Linked DNA regions of Bombyx mori. The main gene of each other region encodes a partner of the protein of the gene in region 2 in a complex. Links are inferred from orthologs where the notes say so. Each region holds a gene or a part of one and is shown on either strand. Other genes may lie near its edges. The genes, in order: cleavage and polyadenylation specific factor 5 and cleavage and polyadenylation specificity factor subunit 6.

Region 1 (13,194 bases), on a different chromosome or scaffold from region 2:
TCTCGCCCGATCTTCTCAGTGGGTCGCGTTTCCGATCCGGTGGTAGATTCTGCGAAACACTGCTCTTGCTAGGGCCAGTGTTAGCAACACTCCCGGTTTGAGCCCCGCGAGCTCGCCTACACATTCGCTTAGGCTGATATAGCTTCTCAAGGTTATCAGCTTAGACTTAAAAAAAAAAGCATTTGAACCGTCGGTCTACCGAGCAACATCACTCGCTCGATGGGAGATCTTCCCTTTCGTAGTAATTTCCACACCCAACCGTTCAAATCGAACATATGCGACAGAAGTACGACACGATTGCATCTTACTGGTAGAATCCTCTAAGAACGCTGCCGTCAGATTCTTTGTGAACATCTTTTTTTAGGAAGAAAGGATTACTAGTGACCTGATGCCAGTCGCGACCAGCTGAGGAAATCCGGGGAGATCCTGAACGGGTCGATGTAAGGGTTAAGTTGTATGCAGTACTGTTAGCAGGTTCATGCCTTCTCTTAGTGCTACAGCTGCAGGGATCTAATAATAACGTATAGTGCATCAGATGAATCCGTATGTCCGTGTAACCGTCGTTTAATTACGTCATTTACTGGATTCTATCGAAATTACAATATTCAATTATTGTAGCATATAAACAACAGTTCCTATTCTATAATATGTATATCAGCCAATTTTTTAAAAATCATAATTGGAACTTACTCGTTCCCTCAATGCTAGCTTTGAGCATGTCAATCACAATTCTAGAAATTTCCCTTCGATTAAGACATTTGTAACCGATCTGCATGTTCTGAAAGTAGCATTTGAATTGAGTTTTTTTTTTTTTTGTAAGCCGTTAAGATCTTTTAAAAATAATTCTTTTTAATGACGGGTGTGAAATAATCAACAATAGTTTCCCAATTTCTTTTTCAAATTGCATTTCTTTTAAATGTAGACGAAGGGCTAACCTTCATTATCATTGACAAAATACAAATCACTGTCGAACTGGATGTTTCTAAGAAAAGAAAAACCGCTTTTACAAAACACAACAATTTCAATCAACTTTATCTCATTCCGATCCGTTTTTTTCACATAGTGAGTATTAAATTGACTATTTAAAAAAAAACTGGCAACAGTGGTAGTTTTCCAATTACAGCACAAGAGCGCATTATGCGGCATAATGCTCAACGTTGAATGTTCCAACTACAGCAACGCTTCGCACAATCGAGCACTCTCAAAAGTACTGCTCTCGCGTGATACTCGCAATCGATACCGACTCAGTGACAGAAAATTGACAAGTGTTTTTTCTTTAAGTTGGCATTGATCGAAATTTTGTTTATATTATCGTTAGTAATATTATTTAATGTTGAAAAAAATTGTAAGGCTTTAGTTTCGTCGTAGTTTCTTAGAAATAATCAATGTTAATTAAAACTGTGCTAACTTAGTGCACTCTGCTGATGCATTTGAAAACTAATTCACGTTCCAATTAAGCTTCAGCATAATTCGGCATTGTGCGTCACTGAGTCGCATTATGCTCTGTAATTGGAAAACTACCAGTGGCATCGCAAAAAGTCTTCGTACTGGACCAGAGGTTAAACTGTATTAAATGATTTGCAAATGACATTCCATTCATGCCTTCATTTACTCAAATGTTTTGGTACAATTATGTTGATACCTCCACCATCTGACGTTGGCAAAGTTGTTATTAAATATAAGTAACAAAAGCCAGAAAAAAAAAAGAGGATTATAATGAAAGTTCATTTTACCACGACACTCTTCGTGTAATCATATCTCTCATTTTGACATGTCTTCCGTCTGTCCTGGTTGTTGATGTACAGTATTTTACCGTCAGATATATTGTAATTCGATGGAGTATTAAAGAATTTAACACATATCTCTTTTTGGATATCCGTTAATGTTGATATTATAATATCTTGTGAATGTAAATCTGAAATAAAGTTTAAAATTCGTTTTTTGTTTTTCTTAGCGGTCCTTTTTTTGATGGCAATACTAACAACTAGTGGGTGTACAACAAGCGAGACATTAAGTTAATGTGGCTTAATAAAACTACACTCTCTGCCAGTGCAAATGCGAGTCTCGCAATGTTCGAAAAAAAATTAGGAATTTAGTTGACGATTGTTTGTGGAATTACACACAATATACAAAACTGCGACACGAATTACTGCAATGCGATTTTGTGCGGTAAGGCATTTCTCTTCCACAATATGGGTGACAATTCCTTCGACGACCGACAACCGTACTGAACGTATTGTTACGCCGGTAGTCACGCCATCTGTTATCAAATAACAGAAACAAATATTCAAAGAACCAGCAAAACCGAGAACGCTCGAAAGTGTAACGCCATCTATTATCAAATAGCGGAAACACATATTGGAAGTTGGAACGACTCGTCGTATCGGGAATGACCTCGATAATTGTAGAGTTGTCGTATCGACACGAAGGCAGTTAGTAGGCGGTTCTACTCGAAGCGGAAGAAGTGAATTGCGAATTTTAAAGTGTTCCATGTGCTCTAAGTGTTGAATAGTTTTAATCTGTACTTCGGTGAAAGCTTTATTTATCCCGAGTCCCAGCGCGTAACAGTATTTTGTAAACTAGGTCGTGACATGGGTAATAAAAAGAAGTGCGCACCTGTTATAGCCGAGGAGATACGGGAAAAAGAAACAAAGACTGCGAATTCAATTCGCTAGTTCTTGCAATGCGTTGAGGGATCTCGTAGGTTTTTACGATGAGACGTCAACACTACGTGAAGAAGGACCGATATATATTACCTCTCTTCTACTTACCATAGTCTTTATTATTGATCGCATAATGAACTACCCCGTTTGGCCATAACTCCCCTCTTCCCAAGCCCAAATAATCAAACCAAACTAACAATGCAAACAGCATTTCTCAATTTTCCTACATTCAATGCAATAAAAAAATGTTGATAAAATTTTACGATTACTTTTTATTCAATAATTGAAATTACCATCAAATTGAAAATCGAGTACTTGCACTCCAATGGTATCAAACGTGGCCAAATATTTAATTATGTCTGGTGCACTGCTCAACTTTATTTGAATGGAAGGAAAACTGTGTGCTTAGTGAGGGGTTTTTAACGGTTTCGATAGCGTAAAAGTTAACTCTTTGTATGGAGTTCGATGTTTGCGTCCGTTTGCCGCTAGGGGCGCTGTTCCAACTGCATACAAATTCGAGTTAACTTTTACGCTATCTAGAACGTTAAAGACTAAGCACACTGGTGGCCCGAAGGCCTCTCCAGCGTCGCCAGGGCAGGTGAAGGAGCGCGGGCTCAGCGGGGAGGGGTGAGATTTACTAACAGCAGCTCGAGTGCCTCGGCAGGAGACCAAACACCTCAACGACGCGACGGCTGCTTCGCGAATGCATCTACTATTGAATCAGAAACGCGACCCGCCGAGAGGATCCGGCGCAAAACTTCGAGGACCAATGCTATTTTTGATAAGTACGGCTACCTACCTGTGCTATTCCTGCCTAAGTAGATCAGATAGGTCCATATGAACGTATCTGGAGCGTATCAAGTCTTAAATCGTAACCTTCAATCTTGTGTAGTGGTTAAGGTGGTCTAGAGCAATCGCGGTAGCACCTGACTTGAATTACGGTTTCACTTCGCGTTTTATATAAAATAGCAATTCACTATTGGTGAAGTTTCGAATACTTGACAGTTTTCACGGTGACGAGCGTTTGAAATGAATTCATCGATGCATTCTCGATGCCTCCAATGAACACTAACTCAAAATTATGAAATTTTCGTTTTTCACGCAAATCGCTTCACTATTTTAAAAGTATTACGAATTCATTATTGATGGAGTTCGAAGCAAGAGTAAATCAGCTAGTCACACAAGAAAAAACCATAAATATATCTGCAATAATAAAAATTTTATCAACTTTTTTCGTTTAAACGCTCCTCCTGTAAACCTACGAATTTGGAGTTAGAGTAGTGTTCATTGGAGGCATCGTTCTGTAGACTACCGTCAAATTTCCAATTAAAAAAGTAAAAAAAACAGCTCTTTACTTCAATTTCAATAAAAACGCAAAATTAACCCGCGCTTTGGCGGTTTTTAAGAGAGTTTTCAATTTTAACTATTTCTAAGACTCGAGAAATCAGAAGAAAGTATGGAGACTCATCTCTTAAAGTATAATGGGACTACAAGAGTAGTCAGTTAAACTTCCTCGGAAACATACAAATGGCTTCAATAGTTAATCTTAGCAAATTAATTAACACAAACCATCCAAGATTCGCTGCGGATACTTCTTTGAACGTATAGCATTATGATTTAATCGACATTACCAAAGTCAATTTGTTCACAATGTACTTAAATCGTTTCAATCAAACAATCAATGAGCCCTTTTTCTGGACTATTAGGACTGTTAATTTAAGTTTTTAAAATTTACAGAATATCTCTCATTTCATTTATTGCCTATCGGCATAGGAAGGCATAGGCCTCCTCAAACGTCTTACTTACATTGTTGTCTATCTTTAGCAGCCCTAATCCAGTTTTAGGACCCGCTGTCAACTTTATCTAACCCTTAATTTCCCAATTGAATCACTTATAGTCCGACAACAGCAATAACTAAATAAAAACAGTTCAAATATCACAGTCAATATCACAGACAACAAATTATTCTTTGACGTTCACAGTAAACCACTTTCTCATAGTACGAATTATCACTTTTTAGACAGATATTACTTATTCATGACGATTTTGTTTAACAAAATTAGTGAAAATCTCAAAGTGCTTTAAATATACAGCGTGTGATTTTTTTTTATGAATTTTCGAAAATGAGAATACATAAATCAGAATGTTTAGCACTTAACTTCTTTTGAATACTAATCACATGTCAAGCAAAACCTAGCATTTTAACAAATACAGGGTGTGCTGTACTTCCTTGTACCGGTATTATTGGCTTTTTCTAACATAATTCAGACAATAAGAATTATTATCGAAAAATTTCACTCGAGATTAGGCACTCCCTCAATATAAGCTTGATAATCACTTAAATCTACAAAAAACAAAATATTTTAGAACTACACCCTGTATGTATATATATACAACTTAGAAACTAAAACAGTCTTCTTTCTTCAGGTACAAAATGAAACAACCTGTAAAAATTGTGTTACATAAGTTTTAGTCAAATACGCTTAATATTAAAATACATATTATTAGTTACAAAGTTTCTTCAAGTTAACTTTCAATTAAAATTTTAATGAATCGGCATTAAATTAGACTAAGTTCAGCATTCGGAAATTACATATTAGGTCATGGTCAGTTTGACGTGTGGCCTTGATGTCAAAACTAGCTCCAGTGCCATTTAGCATTAAATCAAACTGCTGTTTTATTTCTTGAGCTGTAAGGTCTAAATTGCATCATAACAGCTGACCTAATTCATAATTGCGAATAATCAGATTGGTATGCAGTCTGCAACTGAGTCAATTTAAGAGGACAAAGAACAGCTTGGATCTTGGATGCTGAGTGTGGTCTGAACGCTGGTGAATTTATCTCTTTCTGATGCTCCAAGTTTGGGAATGAGAGAATGGTGACAACTCAACAATTCGTTCATTAAATGAAGTCCCTTCTCTGCATATCCCTCAACAAATATCTGTGAGCTAGCAGTTCTAAAGGCATAAGATCTTCAAACACACTGAAGTATGAAGGTATTTTTAAAGCAAATCAAAGTTATATAAATCATGACTGCAGTTAAAAAACAAATAAATTGTCAAATTGAAGTTGTCAAAAAAATTAAGGAACCCCTTTTGTACACATTGTCCCAAGTCCCCCAAGTTATAAAACAATACGACTCTTCTGGGAAATCTCAAGATCCATACCGGTCCCTGCAACATCTTATGCATCTCTTAATAACAACACTCACTTCAGATATTTTCTGTCGCACATAACTATTTAGATATAACATGACAATTTTCTTTTATTGACAAAAATATAGAAAACCTTATCTTAAACTATAGAAAAAATGTCCATTTGCATATATCTATACAAGTTCAATAATGAAGAAAGCCTAAATTGTCCTATGGATTTGGAACAATAATTGGATGTTTTTAGGTAAACATATTATGGAAGGTGATATCCATAGTTGCCTAACACTGAGCTTCGTTGTGGTCTAGCTGCAGAAGTATTGCAGAAACTCATTCCATTTAAACTTTCTTCATCAAACTTCACTTTAAATACCATTTATCACATATAAATGAAATTAAAACGACATAAACTCTGAGACAACGACGATATTATAGGTCCGTATCCCTGAGCATTATCGTACAATTCAAACAATGGTGCCGCAACCAGCTTGTAATTCTTCGGTACAGCGAACAGAGCTCTGTCTTGCAGTTGAACCAGGAATAGGCGCTTATGCTCCTTTGGTTTCGTGATGTGAGGCGGAATGTATGGATATTGCGGTGGTTCGAAATTCGGTCGCCACCAGTTTCCTGTAAGTTTACAGAAAGTTTACATATATTAAGTTTACATATATTATTACATTTTTTTAAAACATAAAATTTTTTTTTTGCTAAAACGTAAAAATAGTCAAAATTCAAGCTTTCACCAGTTTTTCAAGCACTGTTATAGCATCACTAACCTATTGTGTCTTCAATGAGCCATTCCTGTTTGACACCGTCTTGCCTGCCTAAAGTCTCTGTGAGAAGCCTCTTCAAACCATCAATTTCATCCTGGAATTTTAAAAAAATGTAGTCTCGCATTGTTTTTATTAGGAACATCTGAAACACTTGAATGTGCATCTCTTTTGATGGGTACTCAACATACAACTACATAATTTAGATTCTTTACAAACCATAATTATTATTACAATACTGAAAAACTAGAGAATACAATTACTGCTCAACAGAAAATGGGACATAGCTCTTATTAGAGTAGCATATTCTGTTGTTTTGCTCTATATGATATAATACTCAAAAATTATCGACAATGATGACTATATTTAACTTTGTTGGCAGCCTCTTGAGTTGCAAACCCCAAAGAGGCTGCTCAAGTTGAGAAGGATCTGATATTATCGTATGATTATTCCCAGTTAAATTGCGCTTTAAAGATGCAAGCAGAGGCTATTCTGTCTACAAGAGGATCTAGGCTGACTTCTATATTTGTAGTTCTATAGTATAAAGGTAATCCCTTAATCTAGATATACCTCTCCAGGATTCAATTCTCCACCGGGCAACTTGAAAAACGCAGTGCCGAGTTGCAGTAACAGCACATGAGGGAGACCATGTTCATGTACTAATAACACACCTTCGACTGACCTGCAACGGTAATTAAATCCCATCAAACTCACAACTCATTAACGCAATTGGATGAAGCCACAGTGAACCATAACAGAGTTATCAACACTCAATAGGTAGCCCCCCTAATTGTAGGTTAGTCATGTGATAAACTCAGTTGAAGAAAGTGGGTAAGGGCTTGATTATAATGTGGCTCGTCCACAGCTATTATTATTATTATATATCAATACTAGAGGTAAACATAAATGTAAACTGTGTTATCGAGTAATAATATCAAGTTTCCAGCGTGCAAAAAGGTTTTAGGGAAACTGTTTCATCTATACATGTTTAAGTCATGTAATCTACCTGCCATAATTTACAACACTTCACACATTAGTAGTGTTAAGTCTATATTTACAGTACAAGCCCTGATTTTTTTGTCGATTCTTTTCACTAGTGGACCTAGATTGGCTAAGTATATGAGAGAGCTATTTAAAAGCCTAATAAGATATCAACTGTATGATTTTGTATTTAATGAAGTTCTAATATGGTTAGGTAAGTAAAGTGATATGTATGTTTATTATTTTCATAATGAATAAAGCAAACATGTATAGTGGGTACTCTTTATAATCATAATGGGTCGTTTCATACATCGGCTTTCCTAACATAACCTTACCTTCTCATTCCGATTTTACAAAACTCCTCTCGCATCCTCTGGAACCTCGCCGGGACCGACGCGTCTTTCTCGAACAGCGGCTCCTTAGTTCCGAACGTGTAATTCGTAAGCGGATACAAATTAATAGACCTATTGAGAGTTAAATTCATGCTTGGGTTTTGGCTTATTTGATGTTGTAGTCCTGGTCGCGCAGGCCACTGTTTGTTACCGGGAGGCCCTTGAACTGCTGCCATCTTATATTTGATCTTATTTTCAACAAAACCGCGTATGCAGAGATGATCACAACTAAAAATTGTTTTACCAAGACAAACAAGCGTCAGTATTCGGCCATTTAATAATAAGAATTATTAAGAATTATAATTAGTGACGTTCACGGGTGTGTGTTGTAACTCCGAGTTGTGATTTGGCAAAAACGACATCGGCCAATACTCGCCTCGATTTAAGCTTTTAGTCGATTACGTTAAAAAAGTTCTTACAGACTTGTCCAAGTCAAACCTTAACTTTGACAGTTTGAATAATTTTGACAGTAACTAATTTTTGTTTTGAAGTAATGTGCAATTGCATTTAGTTTTGTTTTTTTTAGTTTTATTGTGAATAATTCATAGAAATGTCTGAGCATTTAGAATTCATATCAGAGAATATATCACAATGGTCTGCAGTTTCGAAAGTCACACCGGAAATACAGAAAAAGGAAATAAGACCATTCGTAATTTGTATGTACACATTTTTTTTTATTGCACCCATTGACAATTTTAAAGAAAAGTACTAATAAAGAAGAAGGTTGAAAAAATAAGAATAGATTATTATTAAATTATAGTTAAGAATGCTTAAACTCCAGATTATTACTAGAAACTGTGAATATACCATGGATTCCTTAAGCATTATATTTTCATTGTACACTTTTAACAAGTGGATTGTTTGGAAGAGCGACATCTGGCAACTTGAGCCTGAAATAAAAAGGACTAAATTAAATAATAAGATTACACACATAAGTATAGTAATTTAAAAATATGATATATAAAAAAAAAATTGTCTTAGACCAATGTCTAAGACAAATTGCTAAACTAATTATGTATCACACGATATCTTAATATAATATGTACTCATGTTATTTAGACGGACTAGAGCGATTGTGTAGCAATTAAAAAAGATCTTGCAACTTAAGCAATTTAAATTAGCTTTTCTTAGCTTATCTTATAATTCTAATTGCAGTGTCTCTTAAAGAATTAGAAGGAATAGAAGATGAGAGATTATCGAGTCTAATGAACGCAGAAAAGTTTGCTGCGGTCAGAGCTATCGTCAGGCACTTTGCAAGACTCCGATCGGCAACCAAAAGCTTATGGGGCCAAGATGATGTAAAAACATTTTTAGATGGGCTGCGGTTAGTGCTTGTGAGTTTACTTTAGTGATAGTTTGGCTCTCATTATAAAATTAATGTGGAAACCATGAGAGTAATGGGGTTAGCTCAATTGCAGTAATTTAATAAAAAGGAGTCTTAGTGAATCCAATCAATATAAATATTAAAAATGTTATCTGACTTAATGTAAGTTTTCTAATTGTTTTAAAAGGAACAAACACTTAGTCTAATTGAAGGACAATGAAGGATGATGGTTAATCCCCAAAACATTTGCAGGGATCTTTTTTTGCAACTGACCATCTGGCTTTTGATTAAGCTCTCTGCTTCACGGTGTTCTCCAAGTACCATGACATGTCACCGTCCCTACCTCTTCCCCCTCTACCTTGCACTACCATTTCCATACATCTCCTAGTAGTCTGTAATAATATTGAAATACTTTTAATTTTCAGTTTTTCCCCTGAGTGTACGTCTGAGCTGTCAGTGTTGCTATGCACAGAGAAATTGTATGAAAATATACCAAAACATTTACGGATGAAACCAGGTGTCGTGAGCTTACAATGGAAAATTGATGTTTCTTTAAGGTATTTTTATGGTCTTTTATTTGATTTTTCCTCAAGTCAACCTAAAGTATATCTATGATCTGTTTACTCAAATAAAACATTTAGAAGTGTAATTTAGTTGGTAGTAACATATAGAGCTATATGTGACTAGGAGATGTATGGAAATGGTAGTGCAAGGTAGAGAGGGAAGAGGTCGACTGAAGAAGACAAGAATGGAGTGTGAATTTGTCGTCGTGGCCTAAGCGATAAGACGTCCGGTGCATTCGTGTTGAGCGATGCACCGGTGTTCGAATCTCAGGCGGGTACCAATTTTTCTAATGAAATACGTACTCAGCAAATGTTCACGGTTGACTTCCACGGTGAAGGAATAACATCGTGTAATAAAAATCAAACCCGCAAAATTATAATTTGCGTAATTACTGGTGGTAGGATCTCTTGTGAGTCCGCGCGTGTGAGTACCACCATCCTGCCTATTTCTGCCGTGAAGCAGTAATGCGTTTCGGTTTGAAGGGTGGGGCAGCCGTTGTAACTATACTGAGACCCTTAGAACTTATATCTCAAGGTGGGTGGTGCATTTACGTTGTAGATGTCTATGGGCTCCAGTAACTACTTAACACCAGGTGGGCTGTGAGCTCGCCTAACAAACAAAGCAATAAAAAAAAATAAAAAATGACGATATGAGAGAGAGAGAAGTGTGAGAAGAAGAGTGTTGAGATGACGGGTGATAGAGGAGAATGGAATAGAAAAAATCGCTATGCCAACCCTACCTAGTGGGATAAGGTGGGGACAAAGAAGAAGAGTAACATATAGAGTTATGGGACCAGTTTTAGTGTAACTTTTTTGACATGATAACCAAAAATAATAGGTCACGAGTCGAGATCTGAAGGAAAAAAAAGTAAAAATGAACAGAAGCGACTTTTGGAAAAGGTATTCCCGAAAAAAATCGTATCTGTCAGTCATTAGCATTGCCCATGGCAAATGACAAATGTTACTAAAGCTACTTCACTAGAGCAGCTAGATTAAAGAAAAGTAATAATTTTTCCATTTCAGTCAATCAACAATTGAAACGGAGAATCCTTCGCCACAACGCAGGAAAGAGATAATGCACACTTTGACACATGTCATAGTGACATTTGTCTTAACAGACGGTCAAATACGGACGTATCGGCTCTCCATTAGTCAATTCCACGAACTGAGATATGTCATAGCAAGCGCCTTAAAGAATATGATAATTTTAGAACGCAGGAAATGCATGAAAAAAGAATGACACATGTTTTCTTGAGGTTTTAGGGAGGAATGAACGCGTGAAGGTTTTTTTTTTCGTTTACTAAGAGCTAGAGTGTATAGTGTATAAGTAAATCGTTTCTACCTACTCATAAAGACTAACTAAAAGATTTTATTGGGTGCCCAAGGCGAATGTAATCTTTTTTTTTATTGCATATATGGGTGGACCAGCTCACAGCCTACCTGGTGTTAAGTGATTACCGGAGCCCATAGACATCTAGAACGTAATATAGATTAGTTATAGAATATAATCTAAAATAAAATATCTCTTTTTGTATAAAAACTGAACTTAATTCTTCCATAATGAATGATAAAGATTGTTGAATAAAAATCGAACTCAAATTTTTTTGTTATAATTAGCGTAATTACCGGTGGTAGGACGTCTTGTGAGTCCGCACGGGTAGGTACCCCCGCCCTGCCTATTTCTGCCGTGAAGCAGTAATACGTTTCGGTTTGAAGGATGGGGCAACGGTTATAACATACAATATCGATTTAGAACTCATATCTCTTTACGCATATTTGATTGACTACGAAAACATTGATGAAAATCTCGTCTTGAGGATAAATTGTCGAAGACGCTAAATTTCTTTGTTAAAATTATTGTATTATGATGGCGACAATAATTTTATTTGTCAAGGAATAAAGTTGTTTTATTAATGATAAGAAAAAAAAGGCGTTCGAAGTGTTCTTTTCTCCCGTCTTCTTTTTTTTATTATGGCAATTGTCTTCTTGGTTTGCCATTATTTCCAGTTTCGAGTTTATTTTATCTTCAAATAAGCGATATTATGTTAGTAGGTATTTATAGTTAAAATAATATTTATATGAAAAATGTTTTTGAGCGAAATATTATGCAGTGGATTTATCCGAGACTGTTATCAATTGGCATAAAATTAAATGAAAGGAGATGAGACGGGATGAAATATATGACTGGCGTCTTTGTTTCATTAATCCACAAGTGTTAATTTTCACAGATGCTAAACGGTTAAGGTGCCACTATTAGTAAAAGCTTAAACATGAGGAAACACTAATTTAATAAAATAAAACAATTCACATATTGTACATTAGATTACATTATATCGCACCTTTAGAATTGAATTGCCCTAATCCAAAAGTCTTATTATTTGGTAAACACCAAAAACGTAATCGAAGAATTGTAATTTTTCAGTTATTATTAAGCTATTGCATAGCTTTTATCCGACCGAATCAAGAAATTCCGTAACGAAAATAAAACCTAACCGAACCGAACCTTCAAATCGAAACGCATTACTGCTTCACGGCAGAAATAGGCAAGGTGGTGGTACCAATCCGCGCGGACTCACAAGAGGTCCTATCACCAGATATTTCATCCCATCTCAACTTGTTTCATTTAATTTAATTCCGATTGATAAGTCTCAAATGTATTTTTTTTATTGCTCTTGGAGGCACAGACGAGCATACCTGATGGTGAGTGACTACCATCGCTCATGGACTTCAGCAATACCAGGGGCAGAGCCCAGCCGCTGCCAAGCTTATAAATCAATTGCATCTCATTTCATTCCAACAAATTTTTCATATTACTATTTTAACTATAACATCACATATGTAGTTCAAGATAAAAAAAATTGAAACTGGCAATAAGGGCATATCAAGAAGCCGATTACCACATTGTACTAAAGTTGAATACCTATCAGTTAATAAGAGGGTTTGTTAATTTCAATAGAACAGAGTGCGACGTAAGAGACTAGTTTCGCTATCTCTATCTAACGTGAATGTTAAAAGAGATTGAAGGATCAGTCAAGATTACATATGTACCGCATGCGTTTGAAATTCGCTAACGGTTTAATTCGATTTTTCTTCTTTTTTTTTTTTTTTGTTATAAATAATTTTTTCTAACTTCTCTGGTACAATCTGTTTACGGTCGGCGTCATGTTTGGCCAATGTTCTCGTGTGTCTGGTGGATAAAATCCTAATGTAGAAATTCTATTATACATAACGATTTTATTCTATTCTATAGTAGAATGGCTGAATGTGAAACTTTTATTGTATTAATTTAATAGTGTTTAAATATTTACATTGTTGGGCATTGTAATTTTCTATAAGATTTTAATGTATA
Region 2 (13,228 bases):
TTACAGTTGGACGCGTGTCTCGGATTTTTAGATTGCTGATTTAAATGAAGAATGCGTGCAAAGAATCCGAACCACAGCGCCTATATACACCCCGCTGATCCGTAATTTCGACATAAATTTTACGAAGTGCGCTGACGTAACACAAACCCGGATGTTTGAGTCCAAATTGCGTTGTCTTAGTAAGTCTGGCGCCGTGAAGATAGATATATTCTGGATTGACCCCCGTTGCGCAGGAAAAAATTTAATGTCAATGATCTCTGAATTTTTGTTTAATTTATAATTTTACTTCCATTTAACAAACCTAAAATTTTAATGTAATTAGATCACAAAAGAGAGTATTTTAATAATAACCAGTTTTTTTGCACTCAGAGAAGATTATTGTTGTAAATTATATTAAACAAATAGTGCAAGTGCTTTATCACCATCTTTTGCCCTTAAATATATTTTAATGTGAAATGTAGCTTAAAAGCTAGAAATGTACTTCCTTTTAGCTTAAAAATATTGTTATTCACACAAGTGATTTATAAATTTCAAAATCCTTTGCTTTGATTTTTAATGTTTCTATAAGATAAATACAACTCTAATTATGGATATGGTTATATGGCTACTAAATATTAAGTGTGATATCAGATAGTATGCCAGACTCTTGTAATACAGACCACTCTGATTGAGATACATTATTTGGTTCAGTGTGCCTACTCAACTATTTGCCAGATAGTTTGCCCAAGTTTAATTTTCTTGCTTTTCTACAATTCCTAATTTAATTCATATTTTAGTTTACATCCTCAATATTTTATGTCCATCTGTACTTCAGAATTTTAAACCAACTTTAGTTGTTAAATTGGTGTAGTTAAAGAGTAAGTTTTGTTTCCAATTTCTTTATACAAATTGTAAACTCTCACTACCATATTACATATTATGCAACACAAATCAGGGCTTTTTTTCTGAAATATATTTTGAAATATTTTTATTCAAGACTATTTTACTTTACATTTTGTTCATACTTCTTCAGTTAATTGAAGCAGTCACTTGTTTATACTATACTTTACGATCAACTTGTATCTGGAATAAAATTTCAACTTATTCGGTGATTGTTAAAAATTCAATTTTCATTTTATTTATATTTAGGGTGGAATGGATACATTTCATAAACAAAAGTGAGTTGAGTGAGTGAATATCCTAATTTTTTTCAGTTTTATAGATTAACTTCATTGTTTTGGTCTCTGTTAGATACTAAATAATATATAGTCATAATGTGTAATTTGATGTGATCCAACATCTTTTACAATACATTTTCATTCACTCATACAATTGTTTGAGTGAAAAAACAAATCATTCCTTGACCAAGGTACAGTTTATTACAACATATACCAAGAGTCATTTTAGATTTCAAAATATTAGTATAAGTAAAAAGTAACTCAATAGCAAAGGCTCACGATACAGTCTGCAACTAACTATGTGAAATAAAAAACAATATGAATATCAAATTTATTCCTCCACACAAGAACTGTGTGAATAATAACATACTTTTGAGTTTCAATTCCCAGCCTTATTTAGTATCTTTGTGAAAGAAGGAAAAATGTTTTCAGTCTAGTTTTTGTAGTTCTTTACACATGTATAATTTCAGTACCTGCAATATATGTAGGTAAAATACTTATATTTTGGGACGCTGAATCCATAAGCCCATCAATTTATAATTCTAATATTTGGTTTTAAAGCAACTGCATAAAATTGAGTTTTCTTCAATAAAATTTTGGCTTTGGGTTGTGAGTATATGCAATAGTGTTTGATACTAAGTACTTTTAACATTTAAGCTTACAAGACAAAATAGTAGTATTAAATTCCAAAAGTTTGTACTGTGTTTCGGAAATTGCTTGTTTCTCATTATTGCATATTATTTGTTTTATTTTAATTACAGTATACTGTTAAAGTTTGGTATCATAGAAGGCACATTAAAATTCTGATTGAGTATGTGTGAACACTAAACACCTAAAAAAATCGATTTGTTTTCTAATGGAAACAGTTTTTTTGGACTATTTCTTGTACACTTAGTGACTGGTATTTTTTCAATTTATTTGAACTTATGAAGTTGATCTGAGTTCAGTGGTAAAGGGAACTTCCTATGCCAAATTCACATATTTAAAAATGAAAAGAAAAAATGATATTTGAATAAGTCATATTTATACTATTAATCGAATTTTAGAGATAAAAGCATATTTGTTATTACATGCCAATGTGAAACGTTAATGTCCAATATGATTGATAATATTTAAATGGTACACGAAAAAGATGCTCAAATCAACAAACACCTGTGAATCCGTCCAAAGTAAAGCTACATACATAATTTGACGTACACTGGACGAAAGATCACAGCGAGAGAAAGGAGTTTAGAAACAAAAAAAATACAATGACCTTACAGAAAACTTAACTTTTCAATGTTATTTATTGAAACTTACCTTATCTCCGGGTATATTTTTTGCCGACATTGTGTATCAGCTTCCTTTTCTGTGATCCGACGTCGTGTTGCACACGATTTATCCAGAGAAAGGATCTCACTGCAACCGTGAGAGCCCAGCATACGACATAAACACTTCACTCTACCAAATCACTTGGCCATCATCACAGCTCGAAAGATATATCAGAAGCACAAACACAATAAGCGACCCATCGTTTGGAGTCGTAATTAACACGATTTCCCATTGATATTCATCAACACTAATAATTTTTCACAACACGACACAAACACGACTTCTGACAGAATGTAACTTGATTGAGATTGGCTGACTTGGGCTTGACGGAAAATGGCGAGGGATGTATTTCGTCCCTCCGGCCGCACTCCCCCGCGCATGCACTCTGCTTGGGTCACATACAAAGATTTTATCGGCTTGATACAGAGGGCGCTTCGCAACAATAACATGCACCTTCTTCATTTATTCGGAGCGTTGAACTTTCAGTACGAGCTCTAGATGTCTCTGTTCCAGCATTTTCATTAAGGGGGTCTAAAATAGAGGATTGTAACCATAAAAATAACACATAATACAGTTTTTATAATTTAGTGGCTTTTAAAATCACTTACATACGATTTGTGAAAGATTAGGGCAGAAAAATTTAAGAAAATGATAGAGATGCTTCTCGAGTTCCCAACCCATCATTTTTCTCACGGGATTGTTAAAAATTAATAGAGAAAACTTGAACTTAAAAGTTAAGTTTCTAGAGTACGTAAACACGAAAAAAAAAGAAATATTGGGCTGCCAGCATGGAGTTAATAAGTACCTACAACTGGAGTGCTGTCTAATGCCGAGAAATCGGTCTCGAAAGAGAATACTTTTTGGTCGCGGTGTCCTTGTCTAATGTGGTGACCATATAAAATTTATTTATAGGACAAAATTATACACATGCATCAGTTTTGAATTTACCTTAAGTAATTCTGTGTAGCCCTACGTAAATACAAAACACGTGCTTGCAATAGTTTATTTATGTAAATTCAATTCTAAACATTTTTCGACGGTTTTTTTTGGAAATTGCTGCGTTGTGGAAAATCTAGCACTGAGTTTTATTACAAACATCATTACCTCAGTTCTATTACTTAAACTTCCTCAAATTCATCTTTAACGTCCGAATACTCAACCGCGACTTAAATATTATGTTGAACTTAATTACGCAATTCCTACTTTAATGTACTGGCTAAGTGGGCTGTGCAAATTAATATTTGACACACTGAGTGAGACACTGCAACACACATTATCGGGTGCTCTTTTCCTACATTCACATCTTCAATTGATTTAAAATTACTTGTATTTTTACTTCTGTGCTATTTTCATGACACGTGTATATTATGTCTACTAGTTGCATTTTAGGAAATAAAACACAATGGGTAATAAAATGAAATTAACTAAAATTCATTTATTTGTTATATGTAGATAATTAAATAACTCTTAAATGACAAGTCAATACACATAACACAATACACATAGTACTTGATCTCTATTTACAAAATATTGGTTATATTATTATTATTATTAAGTTCAGTTAATTTTCTGTAGTCTTATAATATATTCCTCTATTTTAAGTAAATTCTTTTTTTTCAAAGAAATACATAATTTATTTTAATTAATATCTAAGTGGACCATGAGTATCATTAAAATTTCGCAATTTAAATTTCAATTCAATTAAAAATTGCCATTTTTCTTTAATAAATCTTTTAAGTTTTTGTTTCAATACCTTAACATCTTGTCGTAATTTTGCTTTTCTCGGGGTATTTTTTATTTCTTGCGTTTGAGTACTTGATTCCTCTTGTTTGACCTTTATATAGGACATTTTCCAGAAATTCCAACGTTATACTTACTAGAAGATCCTCCTCGTTCGCTTAACGTCAGGCAAATGATATACATGCTTGCGTGCAACGCTATTCAATACAATAAAAAAAGTTCAAAAAATACCACATGATGGCTCTTATGATATGAAAAATACATTGCAAAATTATAGTTTTCACGATTGTTTTTCCAAATTTAGTATATGACATAGATTAAGTACAATTTACAAGACAAATGGTATTAAATATTATAATGAGAAAAAATATCTCACATTTTAAAAATATATGCTCACACTAGTAAAAATTTATCAATGAATCTGACATATGGAAGGATATTCCACAAACTGGAGAGGATTCTCGCTTATAACCACTTACAATACAAGTGTTCACCATGATTACACGGAAACTTTCACGATTTTCGAAAAAAAACAAGCCACAAGCTGTATCAGTGCCCTTTTAACTTCGAACTACAAACGTAAATAGACGCCATTTTTCTTTTAATGCATTCATAGTTCTTTTTCGGTGATGCCAACAATTAATCTGGCTTCCCACCAAATTCAACATGAAAACCATCAGAAATCTACGTACCTACCATTAAATTTTCCATTAAACAGAGTTCTTATTAATATAGAACAATAATTTTTTTGTTAACGAGCTTTATTAATATATGATGTTCGATTAAAAATCAATATCTTCTTTTTCTCCACCTTATCCCACTATGTGGGGTCGGCACAGCTAATTTTTCTCTTCCATTCTCTTCTATCAGCCGTCATCTCAACACTCACTCCTCTCTCTCTCATATCGTCATTCACACACTCCATCCATGTCTTCTTCGGTCGACCTCTTCCCCCTCTACCTTGCACTACCATTTCCATACATCTCCTAGTCACATGCATCTTCTCTCTACGCATCACATGTCCATACCACGCTAACCGTCTGCTCCTTAATTTGTTGTTTACCGGGGCCACTTTCAAACTTCCTCTGATATACTCATTCTTTATCTTATCCATTCTTGTCACTCCACACATCCATCTCAACATTCGCATCTCGGCCGCATGCACTCCTCTTTCATGCTTAACTTTCGTCGCCCAACACTCAGATCCATACAGCACGACAGGTCTAATGATCGTTTTGTAAATTTTACCCTTGAGCTGAAGGGGCATTCTACGATCGCATGCTGTTGCAGAGACCTGTCGCCATTAAAAATCAATATATATCATATAATCAATACTTCTTATATAATTTATTTTAATAAATTGTCATCATCAGAAACTAATTTCACCATAACTTTGTACGTTTATTTTGGACCAATTCAATTTTTGACGTTGATGGAAATTCTAAATTGTCGCAACATTTTCTAGTTAAGTTTAAGTCAAAGTCACATCGTTTAAATAATATGTATTTAGATATATTATTGTCATAAAATGTTTAAAATCCTGTAAAGTGGATTGATTTTAACCTTTTCGATAATTTTCAACAACGCCCAAGCTACTAAAAAATCCACTAACCACTAAAAGCCATTTTTGATAACTAAGATAGGGGTCCAAATTACGAGATTTTGTGGAAAATCCTCTAAGCTAGCAACACTGCTTTTTGTTTGTAAAATGCGCGAGAGGGACACCACCACTTAATAATCATTCTCTTTTCAGACCGTTTTTCCTTACATCTTTTGCTATTTAAAAATAAACTTTAAGTCATAGAGATAAAGTATATTTTTTGTTTTTATGTCAAACGAAGTAAGCACTCCAGTTAGGATAGTAACTCTATGGCTGCCAGATACTAAATTTAGAAAAAAATATCAAATGAACAATCGCGTAATCGCTTCGATGGTTTTTATCCTGTTACCTACCTATTTTGGTTAAAAAATTATCAAGAAATGATACCTTTTTCAATAGCTGATGACTGGTGCCCAAATTGAACATTTACTTCAATCCAGATTTACACCAGTTTTATGAACATATAGGTATGCTATGAAAGGTTTTAATGTATTAATAGAGTTTCAAGCAACGTTTCCAATAACTACTACAATTATCGTCCGTAGGATACAAATTATACATATCAAATATAGAACACCTTGATCAAGTTGACTTTTTTGTAATTGAGTAATTTTGTCTATAATAATATATAAGATCGCCAGAAATATCATCAAACATGTTTGTATTTTTAACACTCTTATTCTACGTCAGTTTCAGATCATTGCTCATTGGGTGGCAAAAACCAGTGCTTACTTTACTTACTGATCAAATGCGAAAGACAATTTGCCGAGAGTTTTCTCTTATGGCCTCCCCCGTACGTGTTTTTAAAAGTGTAGTTGGCTACTATTCATATTCTTTTAAACTTTTACTTTACTTTTTTTTGTATCGGTATAGGCTAAATCAGTTTCATAAGTAACAAAAGTAATAGTTATTTTCAATTTTAAACCTTCAACTATTACTTATATGTAGCTAATATAATTTTTTAAGCCTTAAACCTAAAAAATAATAGTTGTTTAATGTACATAATTTTTGTTTTTTTTTTTTTTTGTACACTAAAAATGTGCCCAAAATAATTTTGAAAACATTTTCAACACGACCATTTTACGTGGGAATTCGAAAATATTGTGTTAGCTTGGCAACATTGACCCAAATTCATGGGGTCGGGACTTTTTGGCGGGAACGCGAGGAGTGAAGTTGTGTGATTTGTTTTATTTTGTCTATTTAGTGTTTCTTCAGGTTTAAATGTGTAATAATGGTGGTTTATTAACTGTTTAATATCTGTGAAAGTGCACAAATGTGGGAAAATGAAACAAAGCTGCTGGACGTAACTTCTCGGGTTCCTCCAAAAAGTCCACTAAAAAAATCTCAGTAAATGACCACCATTTTACTGCGATTATATTTCATCCCATATCATCTCATTTCATTAAATTTCATCCCAGTTGATTAATGTCTCAAATTAATCATCTTCATTTCATTTCACTCCATATTATCATTTTTCATAAAATTAAGAAAATAAAGTAAAATAAGACATGACTTAAAGGTCTTAGTTACCAGGTCATAAAATCTCTTAAAAAAAAAATTTCATGGGGTCGTAAGTAGGAGGTAGCATTTTTTCACAACTTCGTAAAATGGCGGACGGCGATGTCGATATAGATTTGTACGCCGATGATATAGAATCCGATTTTAATCGCCAGGTAAAATTTACACTCTCCTAATTCAGTACACCTAAACCTTACAGATAACTCTTATAGAGAAATCGTAACAGTTGTTAATCTATTTTTGTCACGATGAATGGCGGCATTTTACAGGATGAATTTGCTGGCGAAAATGTGGATTTATATGACGACGTGATCTCAGCACCAGCTTCGAAGCCCGAGGACGGTGACGGTCCTCCCATCATTGCTCCAAACCAGCATCCACCTGAGGAAACTAACGGCAACGCCTCATACCACGGCCCGGTTCACGGACATCATGGCCGCCGTTTTCAACTTTACGTCGGCAACCTAACATGGGTTCGTACTTTTTTGTCCTAGACTATTTGTAAATATAAGTACGATATTAGTTTTTGCGTTGTACTGAAAAACTGATATCTTTTGAGTTGTCATCTCGTCTTTCAGGGCTTCATACTATCAATAATTATTGATTTGCATCTATTAGCCGCCATGCCATGATAAAAATAGCACATGCAATTGAATTTGAGCTATCGTTCATAAAGTTATTTAAAAAAAATGGTTTTTGGTTAGCATAAAGCTAGATTAAATAGTTTTTTGCGTTTAGTTCAAGCTCAATAATTGTTATTATGATGGCATGTTAACTTCAATAAAACAAAATATGAAGTACATACATTTATTATTGTGTATAATACATAAAATATAGTAAATAATAGCTAACAGTTTTATAGTAACAGATCTATGAAACTATGATAGTTATAATAAAACAACGTACTTGTAAATAATATATTTATAGAAATATTAAAGTAGTATGTACGTTTAAAAACAGAATGTGGAGAACTTAAAAACCTGTTCAGATGACAACTCAAGCAACAGCAACCAAATGGATCTGTTGTGTAAAATGAGTTACGAAATATTTAATTTTTAATATTTGTTAGGATCTACTTTTAATTTTGCAACACACATTTATCTTTTATACAAATGTTAACAAATTATGTTTAAAATTTAAATTCACAAAATCACTGCACATTAAGTTTTACTGATCACATAGATAAATGTTTGTTGTACTGAATTAATGAAACAAAAAGCAACCTATATCTTATATTATGTGTTAAACTAATAATACCAAGAAAATACTGTATTTATTTATAATTATTTTACAAAAAAAGGCACAGTCAATCTATATTGGTGAAGAGCTAAATTTTGATAGAAAACAAGTGTTTTTCCATGAAATTGTATTATGTACAAATATCAAACAAATGTGTGCTTTAATGTTTCACGGGAATTTAGTCTGTCCATAACTAGTAGTAGATAAAGGTGTGTACGGCTCTCAGTCTTAAATAATTATAAGTTAAAAAAAACAATTGTTAGTTTAAATTATCAATAAACCTGGAAAAAACTGTAACAATGAGGTACTTGTTAAATTGATTTAAAAATTGTTAAATTTGTTTTCAATTGTTTAAACATAGGATTAGTAATATAATGATAAACTTTGCGAAATACATAATCAGAAACTATAAGTGAATAAATATAATAAGTAAGCGCGAGACCTGTCATTACAACTGTTATGAGATTAAGCAGGAAATTGTATGTTTAACTTTAAAACTTGAAAAATCATCCGGTTTCAGTATAAAAATACTGTTAGTGCTATAATTATGTACTTGATCAATGTATCCTAAGATGTTTTAAAATACCAGTCTTCAAATACATATATTAATAATTATAATATATAGTTCAAATAAAATATTTTTGGGAAAACTAAAAAATAAAAAAAAGTTTGGATTTGATACTGGTACAATTCCATGGAAAAGCCCTTAATAAATTAGTACATTATTTGGTTGCTAATTGTTATCATTAAATATCACTTTATTAAAATTATATTTTTGTTGTTGATGATGGTAAGTATAAGAAAATTATACAAATGGTTGATATGCTGTGAGTTACGGATTTTTGTGTTTTAGTAAAATTTAACTTGGAACTTCATGTTCAAAGTCATGAACTTGCAGTTAAATTCTGCTAAGAAAAAAGCAAAAACCAGAATTTTCTTTATTTTTTACTTCATGATGAAGAAATGACTTGTTTTTGTTTTTAAAGGCTTGTACAATTACGATCTGTTGAGGTGAAACTGAAATTTTCATAAAAATATCACGAGCTTTACATGTCAAATTAGATCACTATTTTCCACTTAAACTTTGAAATGTATGTGACATTCACTAGAATTTTATTTTCTTAATGAAGTTGAGAAATTCCGAAAGGACAATTGAATATCAGAGCTATTTACAATCACACATGGTGATACAGTTTGAGTTACGGATTTAGAGCATTTACCGATTAATTAATGGTAGGTGAATTTTGAAATCTAGCAATGCATTAATAAATGGTAAAGAAAAGGTTTGTAATGAAATTGGTTGTATTTAGTTAGTAACTCCTTCATGGTAATAGAAAATTAAAATTGTGTAGAATATAAACTGTTATACTTTGCTATACTTCCTCAAGCTCTGTCACCGAAACATGTAAATACCTCTCTTATGGCCATGTAGTCTCATCTGCACTATCACTTTGGAAAATTTGAGACAATCCTCAAATTCTACAAATGATATAAGGTAGTTTTTAATGGTTTAAACTTGACACCTGTCTACGTAAACTGCGCTTTCTGTAAATATAAGTACAAAAAGAAATTGAAAAAAAAAGATAATTATTTAAATTTTGTGCCACATCATTTCTAACTTGTTCAAATTTGCTGCGTATGTCCATTTAAATTTATCAACCTGTGTTTCTATTTTTTGTTTTTTTTTTGTCAAGCCGTTTATTTATGCTTCTTTTATATTTTGAAACTATGATTGAAAAATGCACTCTTGCTATTTTACCTGGTGTATTGTACATTACGATTTGCATTTAAATTTAATTTTACATTGATTTATGCTACCCTCCCAATGTTACAAAAGGTGAAACTAAACAACTAAAATATTTTGTAACATAACATTTAAGTTAAATATGATTTTAGTTGTTTTAGTAATGCAATTTATTGTAAATTATTTCATGTGGAAAGCATTACATAACCTTTCATAATACTGCTAAGTTATATTATATTCTTCCGTTTGTTTTGTACTTCTACTTTTGAGGCTATCTGTTGTCGAGATAGAGCCAAATCGATAGCAAAAATATACAGACAGTGAGTTTTACAATAAAATCATATATATCATCATATCATAAAGATACTAGCAGTAGAAAATGAATATCATCAAAATCGAGTTGGCGTAGTTTACGTAGATGGATTCTGTTTGTGTACTTAAACAACACAGATTGCAGTTATATTTTGCATACAAGTAGATGTGGGTTTGGTAAGATTATGTGAGAGATGAAGTATGAAAGGATGTATAATCTTATTTATAATAGTTGATGTACTAATTAATATAAATACCATTTTTGCCCATTAACTACACTACAGTAACTTGCTTAATTATGATGTAACATGTCTGCAGCAACAAGTTTTGAAACCGTTTGTGTGATTTTGTACGCACACAAAATTTTGATATATCGTTCCGAAAATGTTGTTGTGTTTATTTATTGAATATCCATAAATTTGCGGTTTAGTCAGAAAAACAGTTACCTGTATCAGATTATTGATAGGCTAAATTAGCAAAAAAAAAAATAAACATTACATAGTCATCACATAGTACATAATAGAATCAGTAGTGTAAAATTGGCTATTTGTCCCGCTTGTGTTTGATCAATAAATTGGGATATTGAGCTGAAAGTTTTCACTTTCTGACATCCCCATCTGTAATGATTTGTTTATTCTTTTATCAGGTTTGTTACGAGGTAAGGTAATTGATTGTATTGTATTTATAGTTTTTTAGTAATTATTTTAACATATGTTTTGCTATTTTTTTGCATACATCTGAAGATTTTCGATACTTATGTTGAAGAGATATCAACATTCTTGTGCGAAATGTAGAGGCGAACAATAAATGTTGTAATACGTAACAAATAAAATAAATAAATTATATAACTCAAACAAATCGCCTGGTCCAAACTGTTTCGTCTGCTCTGTGCAAATTAATCTAAACAATAATGTAGGTAGTTTACAAAAAAACCCCGCGACATCAACTGATTGTGTAAATTATAAATAATATTTAACACTTTTTGTATGTGTGTATTTTAGAGTATTTATTTTCTTTGTAAAGGATACTTTCAACAGCTGTCGTTTCAAGTTTTGTTAATTGCATTAAATCTATCTAGTATCAGTGCATGGATACGATAATTTTGTTATCTGATTTGCACACAAAAAAAATCAGTGTGTGTTTAGCCACATGTTAAATTTATTTCTTCATTTGACTTGTGAAATACCATTTACAAGTAATGTGTTCATGTTATAATTACCTTGTTAATGGTTGTTTTCCTTCTAGTTTTTTTTCAGTATGTAACCGTTGGAGTATTCGGAGTTGTAAAAAAACTTTATAATGCAAATTATCTGTGATAAAGAAATAAATAGTATGATCACAAAAAAGCTCTTTCTTTTCACCCAAAGCTCTATTCCGGCATATTTAATGATTTAGTTGATGAAAAGTACATTGTAGATTTTTAATTCGCGTCAAAAGGTACACAAAAGTATTCAAAATATTTTTATTCACGTTAATCATCGGATCTACTATGAGACGTAAGCGCGGTGTTGTAAATTCACTTTCTCGATAATTCGGTGTTAATGAAAAAAATCTTAATACGGCGTGTGAACGGCGCTTTAAATTGAACCTTACCCCGACCGATTTTGTTTAAGTGGCATGTAAGTGGACTGGATGGCATAATAAATGATGTATGTGACTTGTGTGTATTGGCTGCCTGTTTGCAGCGTGGCTGAGTTTTGTGTAAAACCTTTTCCAGTGGGCAACGGACCAAGATATTGCGAACGCGATCTCGGATGTCGGTGTCTCCGATTTTCAAGATGTGAAGTTCTTTGAGAACAGAGCCAATGGTCAGTCCAAAGGATTCTGCGTTATATCTCTCGGTTCAGATCAATCAGTCAGGATGGTGATGGAACGTCTTTCTAAGAAGGAGATACACGGGCAACATCCAGTAGTTACATTGCCTACTAAACAGGTAAGGTCAATGTTAACTGATACAAAATATGAGCATAATAAGTAGACACTAGATAGATAGTTTATGATTAGGTACTTATGAATTGCACAAATAGTTTCATGATGAATATACCTAGTAACCTTTCCTAGTAATAGATTAGTTTCTGCAAATATGGTTTCGGGCAATGCGTGAGTCGCGATGAGGTGTTGAAACGTGGTTTAAATTAAAACAAAAAAGGAATTTACATTTTTTTTAATAATGGATCTAAAGTGGTTAATAAACCTTTTGCAACATTAAAGCTTTCAATAATGTCCGAATCGTTTTCACGGAGGCTACTCATTGAAAAAATCCGAAAAGAAAATTTTGAATCTTAAACCACCGCGACTTTGTAATGGTTATGGAGATTGGCTTCTGTTAATTGATTTGCAAACCATTTGGTAAAATTGAGGAGTAAATAGCTTCGGCCATATGATAGCTATTGACTTCCACATGGTTTTGAGATGGTGGACAGTAGTATCTAAGTTAGTATTTGTAATTTTTTTGTCCATCGGTAATTAATATAGTCTACCGATATTAATCAAAATAATATAATAGTTTTAGCAGCGTAGGAAATATATAGATGAATTAATTCGGTTCAGTGAAAGTAAGTAAACTTTGATAATGTCTACAGGCGTTGAATCAGTTTGAAAGTCAGT

Evidence for each region.
Region 1: the proteins of cleavage and polyadenylation specificity factor subunit 6 (region 2) and cleavage and polyadenylation specific factor 5 are in contact, whole or in part, in a crystal structure (PDB 3P5T), measured with the Homo sapiens proteins. The link is inferred for Bombyx mori from reciprocal best matches to the Homo sapiens genes CPSF6 and NUDT21. Residues at the interface, in NP_008938.2 of Homo sapiens: Trp90, Trp91, Thr92, Thr93, Asp94, Glu95, Lys113, Phe114, Glu116, Asn117, Arg118, Ala119, Asn120, Gly121, Gln122, Ser123; in NP_008937.1 of Homo sapiens: Pro151, Asn152, Glu154, Pro156, Tyr158, Tyr160, Pro162, Ala163, His164, Ile165, Thr166, Lys167.

Annotation. Positions count from the first base shown.
Region 1 is NC_085117.1:3,155,590-3,168,783, reverse strand, and holds cleavage and polyadenylation specific factor 5, read right to left. Parts: upstream 8,232-13,194; 5' UTR 8,135-8,231; coding exon 7,902-8,134; intron 7,268-7,901; coding exon 7,156-7,267; intron 6,683-7,155; coding exon 6,592-6,682; intron 6,443-6,591; coding exon 6,195-6,442; 3' UTR 5,144-6,194; downstream 1-5,143. Other genes in the region: zinc metalloproteinase nas-14, read right to left, coding at 691-778, 936-947; uncharacterized protein LOC101742918, read left to right, coding at 8,509-8,614, 9,114-9,282, 9,708-9,839, 10,869-11,085. UniProt on the Homo sapiens protein: Component of the cleavage factor Im (CFIm) complex that functions as an activator of the pre-mRNA 3'-end cleavage and polyadenylation processing required for the maturation of pre-mRNA into functional mRNAs.
Region 2 is NC_085120.1:8,925,369-8,938,596, reverse strand, and holds the start of cleavage and polyadenylation specificity factor subunit 6, read left to right. Parts: upstream 1-7,321; 5' UTR 7,322-7,415; coding exon 7,416-7,481; intron 7,482-7,595; coding exon 7,596-7,799; intron 7,800-12,338; coding exon 12,339-12,554; intron 12,555-13,203; coding exon 13,204-13,228. Other genes in the region: ubiquitin-like protein 3, read right to left, coding at 2,457-2,486. UniProt on the Homo sapiens protein: Component of the cleavage factor Im (CFIm) complex that functions as an activator of the pre-mRNA 3'-end cleavage and polyadenylation processing required for the maturation of pre-mRNA into functional mRNAs.